Canis lupus familiaris: one gene and its partners. The protein of the gene in region 5 purifies or fractionates together with the protein of the main gene of each other region. This does not show direct contact. Links are inferred from orthologs where the notes say so. Each region holds a gene or a part of one and is shown on either strand. Other genes may lie near its edges. The genes, in order: ANAPC2, CDC27, ANAPC7, ANAPC4, CDC26, ANAPC1 and ANAPC16.

Region 1 (4,126 bases), on a different chromosome or scaffold from region 5:
AGACTGTGCTGAGCATGGCACGGGGGGTCTCTTGCTGTCAGTAGGGCCAGCCTCCACTCAGCACCAAGACAGCTTCCACCACCCTCCAGGTCTTGGTTCACCCATCTCCATACACTCTCGCCGCTTCTAAAACCAGGGGGTGAGACACCTGGGTGGCTCAGTGGTTGAGTGTCTGCCTTCAGCCCAGGGCATGATCCTGCAGTCCCGGGATCGAGTCCCACATCAGGGTCCCTGCATGGAGCCTGCTTCTCCCTCTGCCTGTGTCTCTGCCTATCTCTCTCTGTGTCTCTCATGATAAATGAATAAAATCCTTAAAAAAAATAAAAAATAAAAAAATAAAACCAGGGGTCAGGTTTGCTAGAAACCTATTCTACAGTCCGCAGGGGATAGGGCCTAAGAGGCTGTCCTTACCTTGTGGAACTCACGCAGGAAGGAGCGCTCATACTCGCCCCGGCAGCGGTCCTCCATCCTCTCCCTGGTCACCTGGTGCAGGGTGGTGGTCACAGCCTCGGCACTGACCCGCTCCAACAGACTGAGCCTGTGTCTGGAGGAGAGCCCTGCCCGTGGAGCACATAAAACATAATCCTTTCCCCCACCTCCCATGCCCTCTATAACAAAGGCTTCAAATAAGCTGCTGGGAGGACACAGCCCTGCCCTCCCCAGCTGACTTCCCTGACTGGGCTGACACCCTGGCCTTCCCTGTGTGTGTGGTGGGTGTGGCTCTCAGGGCCAAAGCCTCATCTCCCAAATGTGACTCTGAAACAATAGCTAAACACATCCCTGTCCTGGTCACATGTATAGAAGTCCTCAGTTATGCCTTTTGGTGCAAACCCTGGTCAGCAATGGCAAAGGGAGTCAAGAGGCGAGGAGAAAGCATGTTTCTGTGTCTGAGATGAACCCAGTGAAAGCCATTCAGGGCTCCCTGACCCCTGCCAGCAACAGGACCACTCCCTAACAGCTGCACTGCTGTTGCTTCACTCAATGAGACAAAATTGTTATAAGCAACCACAAAGGACAAAAGGTCAACAGGTCAGAACCTGGCTTTAATAACAACAAAACCCTTTCCTCTTTAAAGACTGGAAAGGGCAGCCCTGGTGGCTCAGCGGTTTAGTGCCGTCCTCAGCCCAGGGCCTGATCCTGGAGACCTGGGATCGAGTCCCACGTCAGGCTCCCTTCATGGAGCCTGCTTCTCCCTCTGCTTCTCTCTCTCTCTGTATCTCTCATGAACTAATAAAAAAAAAAAAAAAAAAAAAAAACTGGAAAGACAATCTGCTTGCCAGCATGTTGGCCTAATCCCCAGCTCGTCCTGGAAAGCATAAAAAAAAAATCTCTCTTTTTTTTTTTTTTGCAATTATAGGAGAGGATAACTATCTTCCCTTCCCTGGAGAGCCTACAGAAGACACAGCAGACTTGTATGTGACCGGAAATCTGGAATCACATAGGGTCTTGGTGTGCACGCAGTGTGAAACCTGAGATTAGCGTGAGTGGCAGAGATACTTGTTCTTTTTATCCAGGACAAAGAGTATAAATTCACAGCACAGGGACCCTGGGGACTGTCCCTTTGTAATGTCCAGGACTGTCAGGGCAGAGATGCCCCCCTCCCCAGAGCCAGCTCACCAGCTTTCTGAAGAGGCCGCTGGACCCAGGAAAGTAATCTAGAGTCAAGAAGAACAGGGAAATGGCCACAGCCACAAGTACTCACAGGACCTGGCTGAGCTGGTGAAACTGCTCCAGGGCCTGGCGGCACCAGCATTGCTGTTTGTCACTGCCACACCCCGCACACAGGGGGCTCTGCAGAAGTCTGTAGTACCGCCGGCGGGCGTACCTGCTGTCCAACTCCCCCTCTAGTTCCGGGTCTGTGCCCCCTTCCCCCTTCCTCTTACTCTGCATGTAGACTCTCAAAAACCGCCCGTAGAGGCGCTGAATCATCTCCTGAAACATTCTGGGAGTGGAAAAGAACAGGACGCCCCGCAAGGTGGTATGGACTTTCTCCCGAAGCCCCTGAGCGCCTGCGCCCATCAGCAAGCCCAGGCGAGTCCACTTCTCCAGCAGCTCCAGGCTACGCAGGTAGGGGTCCAGGCGACTCTCCAGCAGGCCGAAGGCGTCAAGGAGCAGCAGAAGGCACTGGGGCTCGTCCGCACAGTTCTCACGCTGGGAGATGGTATTCCAGAACTCGAGCGAGATGTGGGCCTGCAGGTCGTTCTGCAGCACCTCCACAAACCACTCCTCCAGCACCGAGTGCAAGCCGTGGCCCCTCAACACCTCCACCGCCGCCCGGAGCTCCTCCTCCTTCGGCGGCACCGCACCGCTGGTGCGGGAGGACGCCTGCGGTGCAGAAAACCGTGAGAAGGGAACGCGGAGGGACGCGGAAAGCGCGGGGACGGACGGGGAGCAGTGGGGAAGGGACGCAGCGGAGGGGAGGCTGCGGCCGACGCCAGGTAGGAGCTGTCCGGGAGCACAACGCCCACCCGGCGGACGTCCCAGGGACCCCGCGCGGGCCCGCTGCCCTCTCCCGGGGCCTCACCAGTCCGAGCGCGGCCGGCGGCACTAGCCCGGTGCTCACGGTGTTCCAGGCCAGCAACAGCTCCTGTGCGGGCCCGGGGTCGCCGTCGCGCCCCGCCGCCGCCATCTGCGCGGCCCCCTCCAGGTCCCCCGAGCTCCGGGTGCGGCGCGCGGCGATGACGCACACGAGCGGCGCGCAGCGGTGACGTTTCGGAGGGCGCGCCGTCGGACGCACCGCGCAGGCGGGAGCGGCGATGCAGTAGCGGCGGTTGGGGTGGTCGCGGCCTGGGCGGTCACCATGACCCAGCAGGGCGCAGCGCTGCAGAATTATAACAACGAACTGGTCAAGTGTGAGCGGCCTCGCGGCGGGGTCCGCCTGGTGGGCTGGGAGGGCGCGGGGCTCGCCGGCCTGCGGGTCCAGGCGGTGGCGGGCCTGCCGCGCGTGGCCCAACGGGCTGCACCGTCCGTGCGTGGGGCCTCGGCCGGGACGGCGCCGGGGGCCTTGCGGGCGAGCCAGGGGGACAGCCGCTGTGCCGCTCGCCCGGGCGCCGGGTATCTGCGCAGTGAGGGACAGAGCGGAAGGGGAGAGCGTGCACCGCCTCCCGCCCCCCGCACGGTCCAGGGTGCGAGGGGTGCGCACCGTCCAGTGCACCGGGCACGCTCCAGAGTGGGAGGGGTGCTGTGCTCCCTCCTGCCCTGGGTCCACAGCGTGTGCCCTCCCGCTCGCCCATCCCAGGCATCGAGGAGTTGTGCCAGAAGCGGGAGGAGTTGTGCCGGCAGATCCAGCAGGAGGAAGACGAGAAGCAGCGGCTGCAGAATGAAGTGAGGCAGCTGACCGAGAAACTGGCTCGCGTCAACGAGAACCTGGCCCGCAAGATTGCCTCTAGAAACGAGTTTGACCGGACCATCGCGGAGACAGAAGCCGCCTACCTCAAGGTGGGGCTGGGGCCCCGGGGGAGTCTAGGGCCGGCCAAACGCAGGGGCGACAGGATCCCGGTTAGGTGTCAGTGAGGCTGTCGGGGGCCTGGCAGGTCAGGAGTCCTGTTTTCTGCACCATTGTCCTCCCAGACCATGAGCAAAGAGCGGCCCCGGGCTCAGCTAACCTAGACTGGCTTCCCTGGGGTGCGAGGAAGGGGCTTTGGGCTAGTCTTAGGGGGAACGGGCCCTGCTGACCCTGTCTGACCTGCCCTTCAGGGGCTTCATTGCACTGCTGCCCCACAGCTCAGTGCTGGCGAGGAGTGGTGGTGACCATCCTACGTCTGTTTCCAGATCCTGGAGAGCTCGCAGACTCTGCTTAGTGTCCTGAAGAGGGAAGCTGGGAACTTGACCAAGGCCACAGCCTCAGAGCAGAAGAGCAGCGGAGCTAAGGACAGCTGATGGGGCCGTTCTGGGGAGGGGCCTGCCTCTACTGTGCCCGGCAGTGGCTGGGCCTCCGACTATCCTCAGCGTCTTTACTCTTTTTGGCACCAGCTGCCCCCTTTCAGTGTCTCAGGTACCAAGAGGCTGTTGCCAAGCTCCACCTGCCCCAGGTGACAAGGAAACCTCTGGGCACGTCCCGGCCTTGTACTCATGCAGGACTTGGGGAGTGCAGGCTCTGGGTCAGTTCTGTTCAGGGCCTGAGGTC
Region 2 (3,500 bases), on a different chromosome or scaffold from region 5:
TAGACTGTCTGTATCCAACTATCTTTCTCTAACTCGCTATGGTTGCAAATGAGAGCTAGAGAGTATTAGTTTATAGACATGTTTATCATTTATTGATCCAGAATTTTTATGTGGATTGTTTTAAGTTCAAATTAGCAATTTCATATAGAGTGAATATCCATGTTATAATTTTTATCATTTTATGGTAACAGATAACTTTTAAATCCTGAGTTTTCATAGAGGGATGACAAATAGACCAACCAAACTCAAGAACTTTAGAGTACAAACATGATGAATGCATTTTTTAAAATGTATCTGAATTGAAACAAGTAATGGTCATAAACTGTTTTTTTTTTTTAAGTCCACTTTTATCTTTTTTTTTTTTTTAGTACAACACCTCAGGTATTGAGCCCCACTATCACATCTCCCCCAAACGCACTGCCTCGAAGAAGTTCACGACTTTTTACTAGTGACAGCTCTACAACCAAGGTAATTTAAAGATTTCTGTTATATATACTTAATGCTTAGCCTTCTTAAATTTCTGTTCATTGATGACTTTATCTCAAACACAGAGACTATTTTAATTTTTTTTAATTTGTAAAGCTGTCTATAACATTTGTAGATTTTCTCCGTCCTTTAATAATGTCCTTTTTAAATAAATATTATAAAACATTGTTCAAAAGACAAAATTATTATGATGGGAAACAAATTAGTGGCTATTAGGAGTTAAGACTGTGGGGGGAAGATGTGACTATTAGAGCATAGCACAAAGGAGTTTCTTTGTGTAGTGGTCGAACAGTCCTGTATCCTTATTGTAATGGTTGATTATGCGAATCATACAAGTGATAAAATTTCATAGATCTGTCACACCAAAAAATAAGTACATGTCAAAACTGATGAAATCCAAATAAGATCTTAATTTAGTTGACAGTACTGAACTGATTCCAGGGTCATGGATTTGTTGATGTCCTGTGGTTATATCAGATAGTATCACTGGGAAAATTAGAGGGAGGATAAATAGAAGTTTTCTGTGTTTTCTTTGCATATTTCTTTGTACAGTTGGAGGGCCTCATTATGCCCTTGGTAAATTTTCTTGGTCCATTGACAAATATTATGGATAATTTTTAATTTTGACATCAACAAATCAACAGTTTTATGACTTACCAGTTACAATGCTCTGAGACAACTAGGTAGTATTACATCCATTTATTTTCTTATTTTAAATAATAAATGAAAGTGATACACTTTGAGAAAAGAGCAACGAACACATAATGCTGATTTATATTACACACTAATTCGTGAATACAATTTATTTTGCATTTAAAATTAAATGATTTTGAAAATTTTGTTTCTGTAATTTTTTTGTGAGAAAAATATAGCCCAGTCAAGACTATATATTTATTTTGTGTCTGATACTTGAGAAAGGACTGGGAAGTCTAAAATACATGAGTTTAACAAATGTGGAATTTTTCTCTTTTTTACAGGAGAATAGCAAAAAGTTAAAAATGAAGTTTCCACCTAAAATCCCAAACAGAAAAACTAAAAGTAAAACTAATAAAGGAGGAATAACTCAACCTAACATAAATGATAGCCTGGAAATTACCAAATTGGACTCTTCCATCATTTCAGAAGGGAAAATCTCCACAATCACACCTCAGATCCAGGCATTTAATCTACAGAAAGCAGCAGCAGGTCTGTTTTAAATGCTTAATATCTTCTTTGTATTTTATTTTATTCACTTTAAGTTTTTTTATGTTCATTAAAGTACATTCCAGTTTTTTCTAGATAGATATTGGAATTTTTAATAAATTATTTTGTAGTTAGCCTTTCTAAAAAAATCAAACTGTTTTATTGTGTTTTTCTCCTTTGTTTACTATATTGTTTTCTCCTAGAAGGTTTGATGAGCCTTCTTCGTGAAATGGGGAAAGGTTATTTAGCTTTGTGTTCTTACAACTGCAAAGAAGCTATAAATATCTTGAGCCACCTACCTTCTCACCACTACAATACTGGTTGGGTACTGTGCCAAATTGGAAGGGCCTATTTTGAACTTTCAGAGTACATGCAAGTAAGTATAGAAAACTATTATACATGCCTTTTTTAGAGAGAATTTAATTAAAATGCCTATGCTCGAGACAGATTTAAAAGGTAAATATTTAGGGGTACCTGGGTGGCTCAGTCAGGTAAGCATCCAACTCTTGATTTTAGCTTGGGTCTTGATCTCAGGGTCATGCATTCAAGTCCTGCATTGGGTTCCACACTGGGTGTGCAGCCTGCTTAAATTTAACAAAACGAGACAAAAAAAATAAAAGGCCAATATTTATTATGTAATGTCTTTATGTATATTTTCTGAGCATTTTAATTTATAAATAGACAATTTTTTCTTGTGTTAAGGGGTAATTCAAATTTGAGGGAATTGCTTATTTTAGAGAATCCAAGTCATCTATATGTTTTGTTATGTTTGGTTTTAAGATTTTATTTATTTTAGAGCTCAAGTCAGGGGAGAGGCAGAGGGAGAGGGAGAAAGAATCTGAAGCAGATTCCATGTGAGTGCAGAGCCTTACAAGGGCTCTATCTCAAAACCCTGAGATCATGACTTGAGCCAAAAATCAAGAGTTGGACGCTTAACCAACTGAGCCATCCAGGCACCCACATTCGTATATTCTTAGACAGACATTTGTACCCTGCTCAGTTGGATCCAAAGATATATTACCATGTAATAGATATTTATAATCAAAATTTTTTTCTACTATATGCAGAGTTCCTACTGGGATGAATTTCTGGCATTTAATATGTTTTATAAATTTGAAAAGTGCCATAAAGAAAACTGTATATAATCAAGGACATAATGTCCTTCGCAAGGCTTTTATCCTTTTAATTATGTTTGTTGCTTAAGTTACTTGTTTACCAGGAAAGAAGAAAAGAAAATTCTGATTTTTAATTTAAATTTTGTACCCACTTCACCCCTAAGTATTTCCCTATTTACTTTCATTTATTCAGTGCATATTATAGATTAATATTCTCTTCTAGACTCTGTAATACAGCTAGACAAATAATTGCTTGGCTTTCTAGAGCTTGCATTCTAGTAAGAGATTGTAAGCCAATAAATGTATAAGGACAGGTAGCAATAAGTCATAGGAAGAAAAAAATGAAGCATGGTAAGAGAATTGCAGGACAATAATAAATATGTGGTGCTATATATTAAAAAAACATGCTCAGAGAAAGGAGGTGACTCCTTCCTCCATGAGCCATGCAGATCTGAGAATGAAGTGTTCTTCCAGGTAGAGAATAGATACAGAAGATATTAACTCATGTACTTTTGTATGGAAAAGAAAGAAGTATTGCTGTAGACAGATAGCCTTATTCATTGCTATAAGTTCCATGTTTGGATAATGGTCCTTTACTGATACATAGACAAAAGCTATGTTTGGCAAGCCCTTTTCAAAATTATTTCTAATTTGTTTCAGAGGTACTTTAAAATACATAATTTTAATTGTTTCCCTCTAATTATAGAACAGTGACCC
Region 3 (3,500 bases), on a different chromosome or scaffold from region 5:
TAATTCAGTGTTCTTGAGGCCCTTTGTATGGAGGTCTGATGTATCTAAATTAGCAAAATAGAAATATGAGATGTTTATCTCTCAGCCTGTTGTCCTCAGGCTTGCTTTTTAGTCTCTTAATGTACCTAACGATACTAAGGGTAATAATCTCTGCTGTGAGGACCTGTTAAATGTAAACTTTGACTAAGTTCAGCTCTGTATTTGCAAAAGTGATAACCCTTGCAAAGCTGGCTGCCTTAGTTGTCATGCTTGAACCTGGAAGAACATCTTTTTGAATGTCCCAGAAGCATAGATTGCAGCATCTGACCTGGGTTGCCTCTTTAGAACTGGGATTTTCTTTTCTAGTCAGGTAAAGTCCAAGGATAAGGGACTGAGTTTTTTGTTCTGTAAAATCATTTGGTTGAGTAATAAGTAGCAGTCACTTTTGAATGACATTACATTTAGGGATCCCTAGGTGGCGCAGCGGTTTGGCGCCTGCCTTTGGCCTAGGGCGCGATCCTGGAGACCCAGGATCGAATCCCACATCGGGCTCCCGGTGCATGGAGCCTGCTTCTCCCTCTGCCTGTGTCTCTGCCTCTCTCTCTCTCTGTGACTATCATAAATAAATAAAATTTAAAAAAAAAAAAAAAAAAAAAAAAAAAGAATGACATTACATTTAGCACCATGTTGTCCTCTGAAAACCTGCAACCAGAAAGTTCTTTCTGGGTAATGACAGAGATTTCTGCTTCATTCTGTATATTGGCTTTGTTATCCTCTGTAACTTTCTTTAAATCATAAGCTCAGAAAAAGAAAAGCTAGTCTATACAGTTTATTTGAAAAGTTTCTTATTATGAAAAATGTTAAATATACACAAAAGAAAATAGTGCTTATATACCTGTCATTGAGATTCTGAAATTAAGAGGATTCATAATACATGTTAAACAATGTTTAATATTTTGAAGTTCACTAGAGAAAAAGTCCTTATTGCGAGATAACGTGGACCTGTTGGGAAGCTTAGCAGATCTGTACTTTAGAGCTGGAGACAATAAAAACTCTGTCCTCAAGTTTGAACAGGCACAGATGTTGGATCCTTATCTGATAAAAGGTAAGTAATTTTTGAAGCATGGTGGAAGTGGCTGTAGTGGGGAGGATCAGAAAAGAAAGGGAGAGGGGATCCCTGGGTGGCTCAGTGGTTTGGCGCCTGCCTTTGGCCCAGGGAGTGATCCTGGAGTCCCAGGATCAAGTCCCGCGTCGGGCTCCCGACATGGAGCCTGCCTCTCCCTCCTCCTGTGTCTCTGCCTCTCTCTCTCTCTCTCTGTCTATCATAAATCTTTAAAAAAAAAAAAAAAAAAGAAAAGAAAGGGAGACAATATACCATAATACTCTAATACCATTTTTCATAGAACTATTGTGAAACTTATTTCAGTAGCCTTTTACTTTTTTTAGGTCCTAATACGTGCCTCTTAACACTTGAGTAATTCCATTTTAAGCAGTTGTTTTTGCTTGAATTCAAGTGTCATCTCCAGGCAGATCATTATTTGGCTCTTTTTCTTTTGGGAGGAGTGATAGCCCTTCCTTATGATTTATAAATTTATGGTGTGCCTGACAGAATTTGGATGGCATCCCCAAAACCATAATATCCTTTTAGGGGATTTAGTTTTACTGTGACCTTAGTATACTTAAAAGCAAGTAAGTGAACAGGCATTAAGAGAGGACTGAGGTGATTAAAGGAAGTAATTAGGAATTAACAACAACACAAAATCCTTGATCTCAAAGATTGTAACTGAAGAGGTGAGCCATAGGGACTTCCAAAGGATGAGTATCCAGTGACTGGCAGTGAGTGTGGGAAGGTATTGATAGGCTGAAATCTGCTTATAAAGTCCTAAAAGAAGCCATGAGAAAAATATGGCCTGTTGACAGTTTTTAGTCCTGTAGACTCTTAAGGCTACAGAGCAGGGAGATGAGAAAACAGATGCAGAAAGATGAAATTGTTTGCTCAACGTCTCCCTCCTGCCCAGTGCTTATTTCTCCTCTCAGTTGCCTGTGCCCATGATGAAAATGGTGTATTAGAAATACTAGTCTGGCAGTAGTTAGCAGCTTGGAGTTGAAAGCTCAGGCCGAGTTTAGGGGCCAGCAGAGTATTGCAGTGATCTTGGCAAGAGAGACGTTTTCCTGGGAGTCTGAAGAGATAACAAGGAATGAGGGAGATGGTGGTAAGAGATGGGTGACAGCAAGCAGGGACCCTTTTATAGAACACAAGTAAGAATAAGCAGAGTAAGGGTGATCTTAAATCCGCTGGGCCAGAAAGAACTAGATGCTTTTTCTGGAATAAGCTACTTTTTCTGAGACTAACTGCATATTAAGTGTGCACTCTTGAAGAAAAGAACTTATTTGATGCCTTTTTTGGGCTTTTTCTGGTTATGAGTTAGGATAACTGCACATCATGTCACAGGTTATAGGGACAAACAGTTCCCAAAGATAATTGGCTTTCAAAATTGTGAGTTGTAGGTTCTTCTACTCTTTTGCTTTTTAAACTTTTTGGATGTTTTGTCTTTTTAATGGTCTTTTTTTTTTTTTTTTTTTTAAGATTTATTTATTTATTTGAGAAAGAGATCAAGTGCTAGCAAGCCAGCATGGGGGTGGGGCAGAGGGTGAGGGAGATTCTCAGGCAGACTCCCCTCCCCTTTGGGTACAGAGCACAATGTGGGGCTTGATCTCATGACCACAGGAGACAAAATCAAGAGTCAGATGCCCAACCAACTGAGCTGTCCAGGTGCTCCTTTAATAGCCCTATTGTAGGAAAGTGTGAATGCTGGTGGGAGGAGCTCATGATTGTGGAAAGGGCCCAGACCATGCTGGAACTGAGGCTTGAGTGGGGGTTCTGATGAAGGCTCTTGCTCTCTTTTTTTTATGCACCGGGAGCCTGATGTGGGATTCGATCCTGGGTCTCCAGGATCGCGCCCTGGGCCAAAGGCAGGCGCCAAACCGCTGCGCCACCCAGGGATCCCAGGCTCTTGCTCTTTTAATAAAGGACACCTGCTGCTTTTTAAAAATCCTCTTCCTTTCCAGGAATGGATGTATATGGCTACCTCCTGGCAAGAGAAGGGCGGCTAGAGGATGTGGAGAATCTTGGCTGCCGCCTTTTCAATATTTCTGATCAGCATGCAGAACCCTGGGTGGTCTCTGGGTATGTTTATGCGTTCTCTTTTCTCTCCAGTTTTCAGTACATTCTTTGGGAAATTGATAGCATATAGGTTGAAAACACAGATTGAAAAGATAATCAGATTCAGATCAAGGTCTTTGACTTTGGACACATTAGTTACCTTTCTTAGTCTCTTTTCTCAGATTTTCATGGAGTAAATATCAGTTGAGATAGTGCATTGTGCTCAGCACTGGAAGCCATCATTGAAGGCCAGAAGCTGCTGCTTTGTTATTTATCATGGCTTTGCAAATTCTCTGAATATCTCTCACATGTAACATATCCAGATACCAGATTTTTTTCCCTTCCATATCAAATTTCC
Region 4 (4,102 bases), on a different chromosome or scaffold from region 5:
GGGCCAAAGGCAGGCGCCAAACCGCTGCGCCACCCAGGGATCCCTGGGGAGGACTTTTTATGGGGCATTGTTCCATACTCCGTACCTGTGACTGATTGCAGGTTAGGCTCATGATAGGGCTTGGTCTAATCACGGCAAAGCTCAGGGCTTTGGTCTTGTGATTGGTGAAGAGGCCTTCGTTCTCTCTCTGAATGCAGAAGCGCGTAGATCCAGTTGCTGATGGCAGCTTTCCTCCGACCCCGGGGGGAGCCAGCCTCATGATGGTGTCCGCCCTGAGCTTGGTCCTCGATGTCTCCTGAGTCCCTGGATCTAGCCTGCCCTGAGGTCGGCTCTGCTTCTGGACTTGTACATGAACCAATACATTCTAGTTATTACTTCTGCCACTTTGAGTTGGGTTTTTTTTTTTTTTTTTGTCATTTAATAAATGCAACCCTCGTAGGATGAGAGATTCCAACACCGATCTACGTCCATCTCTTTCCAGCCAATTTTTTACTTTGTATGTTTCACCGATTTTATGACTTGGACCCCTCCAGATGACAGCCTCTCGCATGGCCTAGAGGAGTCACAGCCCACATGGTTCCCGCTTCCATTCCTGAAGGTGCGCGGGCCCGGCCTTCTCCCCGTCACACCTGACCTCGCAGGGTCCTGTGGGTCGTCACGGACTCGCACTCCGCCCCGGACACCCGCCTCGCTCCCGCCGCCGCCCTGCCCGCCTTCCCTCGGCCCTTGACACGTGGCCGCGTCAACCCGCATCTCCGCCCCGGCCGAGCGCAGCCTAAGCCTTTCAGGGCGCGGCCCCCGCCCCGGCCTCGGGCCTCCTGTAGGTCCTCTGCCCCGGGAGGTCCTCCGCGGGAGGAGGCCTGGGTGAGCGCGCAGCCCTCGCACTACCACCTGCTACCGCCTGTCAACCGCCGGCCTTACTGGGACAGTCGAGCTAGTTGCCCGCTCAGGGGGTTTGGAGCTGGGGGGCCCCGCCGCGCGCCCCCGCCTCCGCCCCCCGCGCGCTCCCGCTCCCCTCCGCGCGCCCCCGTGTCCCCGCCCCCCTCCGCGCGCTCCCGCCCCCGCCCCGTGCGCGCCCCCGTCCGCGTGTCCTCGCCCCCGATTCCCGCGCGCCCCCGTGTCCCCGCCCCCCTCCGCGTGCCCCCCGCGCGCTCCCGCCTCCCGCCCCCTCCGCGTGTCCCCGCCTCCCGCTCCCCTCCGCGCGCCCCCGCCCGCGTTCCTCGCCCCCGCGCGCCCCCGCCCCGCGCGCCGCCGGGTCTTCTCGCGAGGAAGTCCGGGCCCGGAAGTGCCGGCAGCGCGCGGCGGCGGCGGGCGGCGGGCGGCGGCGCGGGGGCTCGGGCGCGCGGCGGGTGGAGGAGCGGGGAGGCGGGGGGAGGTGGTCCGGGCGGCGCGGGCCGCGGAGAGGGACCCCCGGTACCGCCTGGCCGGGAGCCCCCCCCCCCCCTCGGCGGCGTCCGACCGGGGAGTCCCCGCAGGGCCGCCCCCATGTTGCGTTTCCCGACCTGCTTCCCGTCCTTCCGGGTGGTGGGAGAGAAGCAGCTGCCGCAGGAGATCATTTTCCTGGTCTGGTCGCCCAAGCGCGATCTCATCGCTTTGGCCAACACGGCCGGCGAGGTGAGTGAGCCCGAGCCCGCCACGGCGAGCGCGTGCCGCCGGCCCGGCCTCAGTTTCCCCGCGGCCGCCCTCGCTGGGCCGCGGCCGCCCCCCCCCCTCCCCCCCCTTCGCAGAGCGCGTCGGGAGCGGCCGCGGGAGGCCCCCAGGATGGGCCCATTTCCCGTATTGCGAGGCGAGAGCGGCGGTCCTCGCGCAGCGGAGTCGCTCGCCCGGCGGCCCGGCATCCCCGAGTCTGAGTCCCGTCGAGTCCTTCATTTGTCAAATGGGCGTTTGGGAAGCCCGTGGCGTGTGGCGCGTCCCCTGGGCATGCTCGGGCCTCAGACGGCGCGTCTCACGGCAGGTTCGAAGATCTAGACTCTCTTGGCCAAGTGTTCATTCTTATTTATTATTTTTTTTTTAAAAAAGATTTTATGTATTCATGACGGACACAGGGCGAGAGGCAGAGACGCAGGCAGAGGGAGAAGCAGGCCCGGTGCAGGGAGCCCGATGCGGGACTCGATCCCGGGACCCGGGGTCACCACGCGCCCCTGAGCGCTGAGCGCCCGGGCGCCCCTTGTCCAAGCTTCCTCCTGCGGATCGCGGGGCCGACTCCTACTAAGAACACCTGTAAAGCAAGGGAATGATGCTTGCCTGGGCCCACGGGGCGCACCTGAGTGTTGTCACCTGGCGTTTCTAGTTCCCAATCACGTTCGGCCTCATCACGGGTAACCGCTGCATCTACCTTTGTCCTGAGGGCCCCGGTCACCCGGCAGCCATTTTGTAAGGAAACCCTCAGCCCCGCAGGTCTCCTCCTTCCCCGGCAGGTAGGAGTTGTGTGCAGACCAGCTGGGACCCAGGGGTAAGGAATACTTAGCAGCCTGCAGAGCCGCGGCGCATGCCGGCTGCTGCTACCTCCTCACCCGGCGTTGCTGCCTCCTTCCTCAAGGCTCTCCATGTTACCTCCTGGCCGCTGCCCTCTGCCACCGTGCCCTGGAACCCTTCCTGCTCCGGAGGGGGGTGCAGATAGTACAGCCGCGGCAGTAGGACGGAAGGGAGAGCAGGGATCGGTGGGACTAGATGTGTAGATGTCATAGCGGGCCTTTGTGCCCCTTTCCTCAGTGAAGGAGGAGCACCGTCTAGGAGTGAGGGCGGAGAAAATACTGGTAGTTGGAGAAGTGCGGGGTATGAAAAGCTCATGAGGCAAGTGGACTAGGGAAACTTAGTAAGGTTGCTGGTCAGGGGACACCTGGGGTGCTCAGCGGTTGAGCATCTCCCTTCAGTTCAGGTCGTGAGTGACCCCAGGGTCTCGGGATGGAATCCCGCATGGGGCCCCCTGCAGGGAGCCTGCTTCTCCCTCTGCCTGTGTCTCTGCCCCTCTCTGTGTCTCTCTCATGAATAAATAAATAAAATCTTCAAAACAACCAAAAAAAAAAAAAAAACAAACACACAGATTGCTGGTCAGAATTAAGAGCCACAGGAGGTTGGTTGTCTTGTAGTTTGGCGGAATCTAGTGAGCATGGTTGTGTCTCTGCTGTTCTGTTTGACTCCGTGGGTGTAGGCATGGTTGGGTCTCACCAGGGTGTTGTTTTGCAAGTGTGACATAGCGACAGAGATGCAAGGGAGTTAAAGTTACATGTAAGAGGAGCGATGGTATTGGTGGTCCTTGGATTCTAACACAATTAAGTATGGAAGTGGGGGGGGGGTTGTGAGTGAGGGACAATGAGTAGGTGCAATCGTGTGTTACATGGCTTGGTGAGGTTGAAGAACTGAAGTTGAGTGTTAGTAGGAATGAGCTAGAAGGGTAGAGGCAGTGATGGAAAGTGGAAGGTTTGAAACTTTATGGCAGCACTTGTAACTGTAAGGACAAGGTCAAGGGCATGACCCTGGGAGTGACAGGTGAGTAGAAGACATGATCACGGGAAGAAAGGTAGTTGGGAACTGGAAAGCCAGGACACCGTAGCTCTTGAAATCACCAAGAATGGTGATGAATGGTGTTGGAAAGCATGACACGAGTCCCGATGTTCCAGGCAGGAGGGAAATGGCCAAGGGGCTTTAAATGATTAAGAGGGGTAGTGGGTGGTCTTGTGTGATTGCATATGATTCAGAGTTGGAGGATTTTAGAGAAGAAAAGTCATCCAGAGATGTCATCGGACGTCAAGGAGGAAGCCTACTTCATCTCCTGGCCCAGTAGAGTGGGGAGCATGGGATAGGGAACAGCTCTCACCTGAGAATCCTGCTGGAAAGCAGTGTCTCTGGGTGACAAGCACTTTTTGGAGAAGAGAAGGAAGATATGGGGATCTTGGTGCTACCTGACCATGAGGCAGCACTGTATCCAGAAGATACAGAAGGAGGGTTTCAGAAGTAAGGGATGGCAGAGATGGGCTCAGACAAGAGCGCTGAGTCTAGGGAATGAAGGATTCCTTGGGAGTCCTGGCTTCCCTGTGGGGCCCAGTGTGCCCGGAGTGAAGGAGGCTGCGAGCTGAGGCCGGGAGAGGAGCCGCTGTAGAGT
Region 5 (4,037 bases):
TTTGGCCAGACGCTCCCTCTCCTTCTCTTCCAAACTTCCGTAATAGATGTGTGGTTTCTTCACAACAGGAGCAACTAAGTCATCAGGTGCCTTAGTTTTGGTTGCCTGATAAATCAAAGACACGGATTAACCTAAGGTCTGATACTAACCACTTATTAGGCTTCCCCCAAAGGATGGAGCTCATCCTGAGCTTCAATCCTATTTTCCCCCCAAATGAAAAGGACAGGTCGGACACCAGTTCAGGTTATCTTCACTGACTGGGGGGCGGGGTGTCTCTCCAAGCTACTTAGGTTCTGCAGACGGGAAGAGGCTAATAGAACTAGTCCATCATTATTCTTGGTAACTTTTCTATCAAAGATTTGCTTTGGAACATGTCTGCATCATTCCGTGGCAACCTCTTCTTGGGTTTTATGAAATTTCCAAGGTTACCCCTCATCACAGGGGCAGTATCAAGGAGAACAACCAACGCAGTATTAAAGGGGGGCAAGTTAGTTACTTTTCGGTACATTTCAAACGTTTTCAGAGTAAGGCAACACATATGAAGTTAGGAGGCCAAACTGCAATGAAGTCTGACACAGACGTGAATCTGGGCCTTCTAGAGCTCAGGTTTTGGAGCAGTCGGAAGAGGTATTTACCGTTCGGGCCTGTAGTGAGGGGTGCAAATGAATTAAAACACGGGAACGGGGGGATCCCTGGGTGGCTCAGCCGTTTAGCGCTGCCTTCGGCCCAGGGCGTGATCCTGGAGTCCAGGGATCGAGTCCCGCATCAGGCTCCCTGCCTTGAGCCTGCTTCTCCTCCCTCTGCCTGTGCCTCTGCCCCTTTCTCTGTGTCTCTCATGAATGAATGAATAAAATCTTTACAAAAATAAAAATAAATAAAACACGGGAACGTACTTCGGGGTCTGGAAAACGCTGCTCCTCTAAGGACCGAGTCTCTCAGCCTTTCACCTCCGACCTCCACCGCCTTAGCCCGTTCCCCGAGGGACCCCATTTCGCAGGAACCGCCCCCCCAGCCCCTTCCGCGCTCCCCGCCAGAGTGAGTGGAGTTCCGTACCGTGGAGGCGGCTCGTGAGGAAGCCATGCTGAGCTCCGCGGCCGCCAAACCCCGGCGAAAGCCGAGCTCTGCGTTTTCAGACCGTCCACCGCGCGCCCGGCAAAGCGGAACTGCGTCACTGGCCGGAAGTGGGCCGACGCAGCGTCGTGGGTGGCGTGGGGCATGACGGGAGTAGTAGTAGGGAAGCGTCGTGGCGCCAAGAGTAGCGTGAACTTAAGGAGAAAAGCACGCGGCGGACGAGACTCTGCAGAGCAGTCTGGGAAGTGTAGTCCCGCTCGCTTAGCTGAAGATTCGCGGTGGGCGCCGCCGGGGTTCCGGGAGGAGGCCGAGCAGGCTTGGAAAGAGGTAGGTGCGTCGGGCCGCGCGGCCGCGGGCTGAGCTCCGGAGCAAATGGAGGGCTTCCGAGGCCTGCCGTGGCCCCCGGCCCCGCGAGGGGCTGCGGTGGGCCCGGAGCGGAGGGCCAGGTTGCCATGGAAACCCTCGCTGTGGGCCCGCGGGTGCCACTCTGCAGCTGGTCGCCCTCCCCGCTGTCGGGAGGTTGTCCCAGGGCCCTCCTTGGAGCGGGCTGAATGCGCAGTGGATTCGGGCGGCGGCCACCAGCTCCCAAGTAGAACGGAGGCCCGGAGGAGGAGCCACGGCCTGCTTTTATTGCTGGTCTTCAGCCGAGTGTTTGTACCGGGGTCGGAGTGAGGCGATGCCTGTCAAGTGCACACGGGCACCTCTGCACGGCCTGGGTACCGCGGGGGCGGGGGGGGGGGCGGGCTGCGGCATCCGACAGGAGCAAGGCCAGGGCTTTCCCCCCTGTCGGGGGTGGAGATGCTTGAAGTTTGGGTGATTCTCGGGCCGGACGGAGGCCCCCCCCCCCCCCCCCAAGGACAATTAGGATGATAATAATAATAATAATAGCTGGTGTTTATTGGGCGTTTACTAAATGCCAAGTTGTGTTCCAGGCACTTACACTGCCGTACCTCACTCAGTCTAGACAACAGAGGGCAGAACATGAGGAAACCAGCGTCCACTGTGAAGATGAAGCTAGTGTCCCAGAGGGTTGGCGTGTGGGATTAGAGCCCCTGCCCTCTGCCCTTGGGCCTCCTGAGCGAGCAGCTTTGCCCATCACTCGGTACTGCCTCCTAGTGGCGAGCTTTACAAAGTTTGCAGAAAAGTGAGGAACCTGTACGGCAGGGTTTTTTTTTTTTTTTTTCCCTCCCCTACTCTCCCTTGGAACTTCGGCTTCCTCTACCATTTGTTTACATCGGACTTAAGAGAGTATCTGATTTATTTCTTTGATTTTACCTTTTTTTTTTTTTTAAAAAGGGAAGATTTTTATTATTAAGTGATTCTACACCCAATGTGGGGCTCAAACTTAGAGCCCCCACATCAAGAGCCCCATCCATGCGCCACCAACTGAGCCAGCCAGGCGCCCCAAGATATTATCGGATTCAGTGTGCTAGTATTTTATGGTGAGAATATCGCCTGTTCTGTTCCAAGCTTCACAAAGGATACATTTTTTTCTTTCTATGCTTCCAGTCTGTAGCTACATCCAAGATGTAATGATAATTTATACCTGTACATACTTTTTAAATTAAGATTTTATTTATTTATTCATGAAGGATAAATTGAGAGAGAGGCAGAGACACAGGCAGAGGGAGAAGCAGGCTCCCTGCAAGGAGCCCGATGTGGGACTCGATCCTTGGACTCCAGGATCACACCCTGAGCCACGCAGGCGTCCCTAATTTTTTTTTTTTTAATAAGGAGGCTCCACACCCAATATGGGACTTGACCTCATGACCCTGAGATACTACTGACCAAGCCAGCCTGGCACCCCTATAGCTGCATGTGCTTTATTTATTTATTTATTTTTAAAGATTTATTTATTCATGATAAATATTCAAACGCAGAGAGAGAGGCAGAGACACAGGCAGAGGGAGAAGCAGGCTCCATGCAGGAAGCCCGACATGGGACTCAACCCCTGGTCTCCAGGCTCACACCCGGGGCTGAAGGCGGCGCTAAACTGCTGAGCCACCAAGGCTGCCCTGCATGTACTTTAAAGGAGCTTTCTTTGACATCATTCTCATCTAATCCTCACCCCTGTGACCTATGTATAATTTTTATGGCAGGCTGACATCTATTAACCAAACTAAAAAGCTTCAACTGCATTTATAAAATAGAGGTAATTTTGCCAGCATTCACAGGGTTTCTGTATTCAAGTAAAAAATGTAAAGAATGGGAATGGAAAAGTGTAGCACAGTGTTCCAAGTGTTCACTTTAAATTGTACATTTTAGGGACACCTGGGTGGCTTAGCAGTTGAGCATCTGCCTTCAGCTCAGGCCATGATCCCAGGGTTTGGGATTGAGTCCCGCATCAGGCTCCTTGTCGGGAGCCTGCTTCTTCCTCTGCCTATGTCTCTGTTTCTCTCTCTGTGCCTCTCATGAATAAATAAATAAAATCTTAAAAAATATTGTACACTTTATTTTTTAAGATTTTATTTATTTTTGAGAGAGAGAGCATGGGCACGAGCAGAGGAGAGGGGCAGAAGACGAAGCAGCCTCTCCACTGAGCCAGGAGCCAGATGTGGGACTTGATCCCAGGACTCCTGGATCAGGACCTGAGCCAAAGGCAGACCCTTAACCAACTGAGCCAGCCAAGCGCCCCTCAAGTGCTCACTTATTTGGGTTTCTCAGTTTATTCAACAACACATGTACTGACTGATTATTACAGATACACTCTGCTTGATGCTGTGGAGAATATAAAGATGATGCCTTTAACAGGTTTTAAATTGACTTGGGGAGTGTCATTGTCCCTAAAAATTTTTTTTGTTAGCATAAGCATTACCTTGAGTTTTCAGACTCAGGAATGTTCTCTTGAGCCTCTTTGTGTCTTGTTCCCTCTCTCTTACTCCCCTTTCTCTGCCTGCCCTCATAAGTCAGCTAAGAGATTTCCTCCAGGAAGCCTTCCTTGTCCCTGTCTACCCTGCACTCCACCC
Region 6 (3,500 bases), on a different chromosome or scaffold from region 5:
GTTCATCAAGGGTGCAATATGTTGTAGATCATGCAATGAAAATTGTTTTTCTCAACACTGAGCCCTCCATTATAATGACCTATGACACTGTTCAAAGTTTGCATTCTGTGTGGGCTCTCCGGAGAGTCAAAACAGAGGTAAGGATAAAGGCAAGTCACATCTTAGTAGGAAAGGATAGCTAACACTGAAAACTTTCACATGTGTTTGGGAGAATCATTTGTGAAATGCATTGAGCTTTATAGGAAAAAGGAAATATTGTGTCTTTAATAACTGGCTTCTACCCTGAATTCTCACCAGGAAATTACCCTTTTAATCTAATTATTGCCTTTTTTTCCCCCCTTCTCATCATTTTGACTTAAGGAAGAGAATGTTGTCTTAAAGTTCTCTGAACAGGGGGGAACCCCACAGAATGTGGCCAGTAGTAGCTCCCTCACAGCACACCTCAGAAGCCTCTCCAAAGGAGATTCTCCCGTGGCTTCACCTTTCCAGAATTACTCCTCCATTCACAGTCAGAGTCGCTCGACCTCCTCACCCAGTCTACACTCTCGTTCACCTTCTATTTCCAACATGGCAGCTCTAAGGTGGGAATTAAGTGTGGAAGTGTTTCCTTGTTTTAACAGGATCTCCCAAGAAAGAAATACCTTCTTTTCAAACTTTCTCTTATTGTTACGAAAGATTTATGATCTCTGTTGACAGCTCTTGGGTATTTTTTTTTACAGAAAATAGTAATTATCCCAGTTGTGTTACTTTTACTAAGTAAAAGCTAGTTTTTTTTTTAAATGAGTCCTATTTAGAAGCTGGCTGTGTTTGCAGTAAGATTGGTTGCCTCATTACCACTAAATGGCAGCAGTTTGATGAATATCAATTGCAAAAATATTTTGCAATGATTCGTTTCTTTGGAGAGGGAGGGAGGGAGGGAGGGAGGGGGCGGGAGGGCTTTTTCTTTCTCTTTTCTTTTCTTTTTCTTTTTCTTTTCCTTTCTTTCCTTCCTTCCTTCCTTCCTTCCTTCCTTCCTTCCTTCCTTCCTTCCTTCCTTCTTTCTTTCTTTTTTGTTTGCATTAGCTTTTTCATTTTTATTAGTGTATACCTGGTAATATGGGGACATAGTTTTGTTGGTATGTATGTATCTGGATATATAAGAATATAGTTTGGACCTTTTGGAATAATAAAAACAATTCATGTTCTGAGGCAGAAAATGAACTAATTTTCAGTTTTAAAAGTAAAGGATGAATTCTAACAACAATTTTAAATCTTTGGAACGTAATAAAGCACATTAGCGTGAACCATTTAAGTAGTTTTTCCCTTAAAAAAATATTTCTGACTGGGATTATGCCATGAATGCACTTGGTACCTAGAGTTTTAGAAATTGTGATTGCAAAGTATGTTCCATCAGTCTGCCTTGTTAATTGTGATGCCCTTTCTCTGTTTGTTTTGCAGTCGTGCTCATTCTCCTGCCTTAGGAGTGCACTCTTTTTCAGGGGTGCAGAGGTTCAACCTTTCAAGCCATAATCAGTCTCCAAAGAGACACAGTATTTCCCACTCTCCAAATAGCTCTAATGGCTCCTTCCTTGCACCAGAAACAGAGCCAATTGTTCCTGAACTTTGTATTGACCATTTATGGACAGAAACGATTACGAATATAAGGTTTGGGATATATATTTTTATATTCGAAGAAAAATGTGGGTAAAAGTCTTAAAAAATATTTAGTGTTTTACTTAAGGTTTCCTTTTAATCTTTTAATATAACTAATTATATAAAAACATAAATATTAAGGCTACCTTAGTTTCAATAGAGGATATTAATGATATTAAAGTGATTATAAAAGTATTCTCTTATCATTTCTTATTTCTTCCATAGTAGTAAAAATCTCTCAGATTTGAGGTGTTTGATGTTTTAGGGAGAAACAACTAATTTCTGTATATTAAGAAACTTGGGATTTTATAGTATTTTTAAAGTTTTATCTTTATGTTAGTTGAGTGTCAGCTGTTTTTGGGAAATGCAGCTCAGATCTCTGTTCTGTGTGGCCTTTCTATTATTTTCTCTTTGATCATTCATTAATTCAGCCAATTCCAGTGTGTGTGCTAGTGGCTGTGGGTTAATAGGTGTTCCTCTCCTGAAAAAGAGACAGCTGAAGGTTGGTGACACAGAGGCACTGCCTACTTTACTGATAGGGCCTTGGGAAGATGAATAGGTATTTGTTGGGGAATAAAGGGAAAAAGGACACAGTAGGCAGGGCGATCAGAAGTTCAGAAGTATGAGTATGTAATATGTGCAAATACTCTCTGCTTATCCTGGAAGGAAGGGCAAGGTTTGAGAAAGGGGAGGCTAGAGAAAGATTGCCCTTTAGGGCTGCTGTATATGATAAAGGCTGTTAAGAAGGTGCTTTATATGTATGGGTCATAAACTCAGAGGAAAGAGCAAAGCAATAAATGTGGGAGTTGTTGGCTTATAAGTGGTGATTTGGGCAAGAGAGGTAGATTGGAAGTCAAAGAGTGTGTAGATGTTGGTTTCCTGGAAGGCCTCTGGATGAGTTTGCATTTGGCAGAGGTTCCAGTAACGTAGCATTATATAGTAATCATGTGCACGTGTGATGTATAGGACTTTTCCTAAAGAGAGGGTTTTAACATTCATTAGATTCTCATAGGGGATCTGAGTCCTCCAAATAATTGATCTGGTGGTTGTGAGTCAGAAGAGTGCTAGAGACTAAAGTCTTGGAAACTTAAGATTTTGGGGGTAAAAAGGGAAAAAGAGACAAAGCTGGAGAGGTCAAGTGGGAGAAGCAGCAGAAGTGTCATGGAACACTGGAAAAGAGAGCCTTTCAAAAAGAAAGCTGCCAGTATTACCAGGTGCTGATGGGGGTGGCACTAAGTGATGAGCTCAGGGAGGTGGTATGTAGGTGGCAGTGAGTTCACTGGTGACCTTGGCCGGAGCACTTGGAGAGGGGCTGTGAAGTGGAATGGGGTGGAAGAAGTGAATGGGGAATGAGGAAGTGAACATTGACATACAGATTATTTTAAGGATTGCCTTTGAATTGGGATGAGGAAACAAATTAGAGGGAGTCTCAGGGTCAAGGGAGAATTTTCTTGCTGAATTACATTAGAGAAAATTAGTCTTTGAGACTAAATATCTTGGCATGTATCTCTAAAACATAAGAACATCTTACCACAAGGCCATTTTTATACCTAGCCAGTTAACAGTACTTTATATCATTTATTATTCAGTCCATCTTCATATTTTAAGATTTTTATCTTAATATGAGAGAGTAGGCTGCAAGGACTATATCCAAAGTAGGGAAAGCATTGAAAATACAGGAGAGAGGAAATGACTGATAGAACTAGGAACCAGAAAGGAGCACAAGTGGAGAGATTAGCCTTGGGGAGAAAGATGAAAGGCAGTGATGGTTATTAGATACATAGAGAAGAGGTTGGGCTCAAGTCCAGTTTTCTCTGTGATGCAGAAGGCAAATGTATGTTGTTAGGGGATAGGTATAGTTGGAGGAA
Region 7 (3,500 bases), on a different chromosome or scaffold from region 5:
TCATAACCCATAAATCACCCACAGTCGATCCCAAGCCATATAAACAGTTTGCTAATGATAGGAAGTAAGTGTTTTAAGTAGAAAAACAGAATAAACATACTTTCACATAAAATCCTGAGAGACATTTTGGTATGAGGCATCAGTAAAAGATTGTGGGAACAGAGAGGGTAGAAAAAGGGGGAGCTAATTCTTTACTAAACTGTATGCTGGCTTTTATGGCAGCTAGAATGAAATGTTGTCAGTCTCACTTCCATAAACTTGCCAATTGCTGTTTTTCTTTCTCTGTAGTGAAGTGAGAATTCTGCTAGAGAGGAAATGGCTGCCTCTTCATCATCCTCCTCAGCTGGTGGGGTCAGTGGAAGTTCTGTCACTGGATCTGGTTTCAGTGTCTCAGACCTTGCCCCACCACGGAAAGCCCTTTTCACCTACCCCAAAGGAGCTGGAGAGATGTTAGAAGGTGATCTCATGCTGCTTTTTGCTGAATAATTGGATTCTGACCTGCAATGAATATTAATTGTAAAGAAGCTATTAAGCAGATTAGAGACAAGTTTGCCCTGATTTCAGCTCCACATTTCATCACTTGTCCCCATTTCAAAATATTATGCTCAAAACACAGATCTTTCTCCAGAATCAAAATTTTGGAGCTGAAAAAAGCTTTGGAAATCAAGGAAGTCATCTAGACTTATTTAGACCCAGAAAAGTTAATGTGATTTGACCACATTAAAGACAAAGTCAGCACTAGAACCAAGAATTTTCTTGACCTCCTTCTCCAGTTTGCTTTATTCCTGGCACCAGTCTGCCTCCCTATAATGAGTAGGTTTGATACATTTCTTTCTAATGTAATTAATCTACTCCTAGATTAACCTCATCAAATAGGTTCTAAGAGGAAATAAAAATTAATATACTACTCTTGTATGTGAAGATGGCTCCCTTGGCCCACTGTAGAACAGTACTGTATGGTTTTTCTAGCACGGGAGCTGGGTTTGTATCAAATCATCCACATCCTACTCAGCACACATTTGCAAACTGGCTAGCCGGGATCAGAGCACAGGCTGTAAGCATGACACTGCATTGATACCTGAAATTCATGGGATACGTGTCACTTGAGGAGCTAGACCAGTAAACTCTTAATAGGGAGCATAAAAATCACCTGAAGAGCTTATTTAAAATGCACATTTCTGCCCACCTTAGAGATGCTAAATTGGTCTAGGGTGCAGCACAGAAATCTTTTCTTTTGACTGACATTCAAGGGATGCTCACGAAAGATTCTTCCATAACTATTAAACCGTCACACTTTGAAAAAAGTCAGCAAAGAACTATTAAGGATTCAAAATCTACCTGATTCTAGCACTTTTGTGCTTAGTTATGTATTGATCTTTTTTACTTTAAATTGCAAATTTTGGTAAGTATATTTAAAAATTAATCTAGAAATCTCTGAGCAAGGTACAAACTATAGTTAGGAGTAAGCTTTTTGGAGTAAACTTTATTCATTTATATCAGGTGAAAAGAGTTTTGGGTTAAAGCCAGAACAAACAGAAGAATCATTTGTGACTGAGAGACATGAGAAAACTAGGACCACAAGCCTCTCTAGAATTGGTTCAAATCAAGTTGGTGAATTAGTCAGGTAATATAGTTAGTGATATATCTGAGATGTATGTACTTCTGTCTTTGCCTTCTCGTTTTCTTTAGTTTTGTTAACTGAATTCTTGAATTAGTATCACTGACTCTAGATGTAATGAACAATTGGGGCCTTGTTTACCATATGTGACACTACATTTTTGACGTCTTATATGCAGCAGAGACCTGGTGTTAAGGAAGTTGCCCACAAAAAATCAAAAGTTGGAGGCACTTAAATTGCTTAATGAGTCTTACAGCAGCAGAAAAGGAATTGATGTTTAACAATGGACTCTAAGATTGAAGTCATTTAAATCCTAGCTACAGGAGAAATTTAATACAGGAGGTACCTCCTTAGTCTCAAAGCTATAAGCATTCTGTATCAGTATACTCCAGATTACTTGGAAACATTAAAGAAGAAAGGCTCCTGAGATTAGTCTGAATGTTGAGGTTCTAACATGTTTTAGTTCTATCCATTTTTACTCCATCCCAGTATGCTCCATGGAAGAATGTGTTGGCTTTCTGTTGTAGGACGAATTTATATTAGGTTTAAATTCAAAATGCAAAAAAAAATAAAAAATTCAAAATGCAGAGTTTTCATTCCCTTTCTTAGGTTTAAAGTTTTAGCTGTATTTTAAAGCTACTTACACTTAAGGACAGACTATGAAAAATTAGAAATGGTAATCCATGAACTATCCTACTCAAATAAAAAATGTTAAATTGAAAGAGTACTGCTAAATGAAATTTAATAAGAATGTTAGATTTAGAAGCATATTCTACAATGTTTATAGGTGATGCTATTATACAGTTAATCTAATGCACAGGTACCTGACCATTTTTCTTAGAGTAGTTTAATCAAATATGAAAACAGAGTAGGAAAAGTTGCCTTTTCACAGTAAGGAAGAAAAGCAATCAGGAGCCAAGGTTGGATACTATTTATAATCTTAACAGGTTCAAATTGATCTTGCATCCTTCTGTGAAACCCAGATAACGTACTTAACCTTTTGAATAAACATTCTTTTGCATCCAATCTAGACACTTCACATAAGCAATGTATACATGGTCCCCAATTTACTGATGGTTCGACTTAAGATTTTTTTACTTTACCAGGGTGCAAAAGCTATATGCATTTAGTAGAAAGCATACTTTGAGTTTTGAATTTTGATCTTTTCCTGAGCCAACAATATTTGGTTCGGTAATCTCTTAGGATGCTGGGCAGGGGCAGGGAGCCACAGTTCTCAGCCAGACGATCACCAAGGTAAACAACTGATATACTTACAACCATTCTGTACCCATACAACCATTCCTGGTTTTCACTTTCAGTATGGTATTCAATAATTTACATGAGATATTTGACACTTTATTATAAAATAGGCTTTGTGTTAGATGATTTTTCGCAACTGTAGGCTAATGTAAGTGTTCTAAGCATGTTTAAGGTAGATTAGGCTACCTAATGATGTTTAGTAGTTTAGGTGTAGTAAATGCATTTTCAACTTAGTATTTTTAGCTTAGAATGGGTTTATCAGGATATAACCCCATCATAAACCGAAGATCTGTACAGCAGTTTTCAGCATTCTTCCTGCCCTTGGCTATGATTGTCCTCACTCAGATTAGGGAGCAAATTAGAGACTGCCTTCCAGCCCAGAAGTAGCTGAATTTTAGTGACATTGTAGGCTGCTAAAGCATAAATTATCTGGCAGTGTCTAATTTCCTGCTGTGAGGTAATATTCTTTTAAATGAATCTGATAGCATCCTATTTATTGGAGTTGGCATGATGTTAGATTTGGGCAATTTACTGACCTTTTCACTACTTATAACCTTTGCTTGTCCCTTAGGAGGAAAACTGATGTATTGCTACTTGGTGTGTTACAAAGGGTTTGATTACA

Evidence for each region.
Region 1: the proteins of CDC26 (region 5) and ANAPC2 purify together in Homo sapiens (co-immunoprecipitation; 7 studies listed by BioGRID and IntAct, with this or other methods). This does not show direct contact. The link is inferred for Canis lupus familiaris from reciprocal best matches to the Homo sapiens genes CDC26 and ANAPC2.
Region 2: the proteins of CDC26 (region 5) and CDC27 purify together in Homo sapiens (affinity purification with mass spectrometry; 12 studies listed by BioGRID and IntAct, with this or other methods). This does not show direct contact. The link is inferred for Canis lupus familiaris from reciprocal best matches to the Homo sapiens genes CDC26 and CDC27.
Region 3: the proteins of CDC26 (region 5) and ANAPC7 purify together in Homo sapiens (affinity purification with mass spectrometry; 5 studies listed by BioGRID and IntAct, with this or other methods). This does not show direct contact. The link is inferred for Canis lupus familiaris from reciprocal best matches to the Homo sapiens genes CDC26 and ANAPC7.
Region 4: the proteins of CDC26 (region 5) and ANAPC4 purify together in Homo sapiens (affinity purification with mass spectrometry; 11 studies listed by BioGRID and IntAct, with this or other methods). This does not show direct contact. The link is inferred for Canis lupus familiaris from reciprocal best matches to the Homo sapiens genes CDC26 and ANAPC4.
Region 6: the proteins of CDC26 (region 5) and ANAPC1 purify together in Homo sapiens (co-immunoprecipitation; 6 studies listed by BioGRID and IntAct, with this or other methods). This does not show direct contact. The link is inferred for Canis lupus familiaris from reciprocal best matches to the Homo sapiens genes CDC26 and ANAPC1.
Region 7: the proteins of CDC26 (region 5) and ANAPC16 purify together in Homo sapiens (co-immunoprecipitation; 5 studies listed by BioGRID and IntAct, with this or other methods). This does not show direct contact. The link is inferred for Canis lupus familiaris from reciprocal best matches to the Homo sapiens genes CDC26 and ANAPC16.

Annotation. Positions count from the first base shown.
Region 1 is NC_049230.1:48,462,357-48,466,482, reverse strand, and holds the start of ANAPC2 (anaphase-promoting complex subunit 2), read right to left. Parts: upstream 2,801-4,126; 5' UTR 2,630-2,800; coding exon 2,525-2,629; intron 2,326-2,524; coding exon 1,703-2,325; intron 545-1,702; coding exon 412-544; intron 1-411. Other genes in the region: SSNA1 (Sjoegren syndrome nuclear autoantigen 1), read left to right, coding at 2,801-2,852, 3,239-3,438, 3,772-3,879. UniProt on the Homo sapiens protein: Together with the RING-H2 protein ANAPC11, constitutes the catalytic component of the anaphase promoting complex/cyclosome (APC/C), a cell cycle-regulated E3 ubiquitin ligase that controls progression through mitosis and the G1 phase of the cell cycle.
Region 2 is NC_049230.1:17,538,416-17,541,915, reverse strand, and holds part of CDC27 (cell division cycle protein 27 homolog), read left to right. Parts: intron 1-368; coding exon 369-468; intron 469-1,463; coding exon 1,464-1,671; intron 1,672-1,871; coding exon 1,872-2,044; intron 2,045-3,500. UniProt on the Homo sapiens protein: Component of the anaphase promoting complex/cyclosome (APC/C), a cell cycle-regulated E3 ubiquitin ligase that controls progression through mitosis and the G1 phase of the cell cycle.
Region 3 is NC_049247.1:8,464,090-8,467,589, reverse strand, and holds part of ANAPC7 (anaphase-promoting complex subunit 7), read left to right. Parts: intron 1-941; coding exon 942-1,084; intron 1,085-3,048; coding exon 3,049-3,166; intron 3,167-3,500. UniProt on the Homo sapiens protein: Component of the anaphase promoting complex/cyclosome (APC/C), a cell cycle-regulated E3 ubiquitin ligase that controls progression through mitosis and the G1 phase of the cell cycle.
Region 4 is NC_049224.1:85,510,380-85,514,481, reverse strand, and holds the start of ANAPC4 (anaphase-promoting complex subunit 4), read left to right. Parts: upstream 1-1,302; 5' UTR 1,303-1,485; coding exon 1,486-1,614; intron 1,615-4,102. UniProt on the Homo sapiens protein: Component of the anaphase promoting complex/cyclosome (APC/C), a cell cycle-regulated E3 ubiquitin ligase that controls progression through mitosis and the G1 phase of the cell cycle.
Region 5 is NC_049232.1:68,048,891-68,052,927, reverse strand, and holds the start of CDC26 (anaphase-promoting complex subunit CDC26), read left to right. Parts: upstream 1-1,237; 5' UTR 1,238-1,398; intron 1,399-4,037. Other genes in the region: PRPF4 (U4/U6 small nuclear ribonucleoprotein Prp4), read right to left, coding at 1-105, 1,054-1,080. UniProt on the Homo sapiens protein: Component of the anaphase promoting complex/cyclosome (APC/C), a cell cycle-regulated E3 ubiquitin ligase that controls progression through mitosis and the G1 phase of the cell cycle.
Region 6 is NC_049238.1:36,479,244-36,482,743, reverse strand, and holds part of ANAPC1 (anaphase-promoting complex subunit 1), read left to right. Parts: coding exon 1-137; intron 138-360; coding exon 361-581; intron 582-1,437; coding exon 1,438-1,644; intron 1,645-3,500. UniProt on the Homo sapiens protein: Component of the anaphase promoting complex/cyclosome (APC/C), a cell cycle-regulated E3 ubiquitin ligase that controls progression through mitosis and the G1 phase of the cell cycle.
Region 7 is NC_049225.1:23,616,251-23,619,750, forward strand, and holds part of ANAPC16 (anaphase-promoting complex subunit 16), read left to right. Parts: intron 1-288; 5' UTR 289-315; coding exon 316-457; intron 458-3,500. UniProt on the Homo sapiens protein: Component of the anaphase promoting complex/cyclosome (APC/C), a cell cycle-regulated E3 ubiquitin ligase that controls progression through mitosis and the G1 phase of the cell cycle.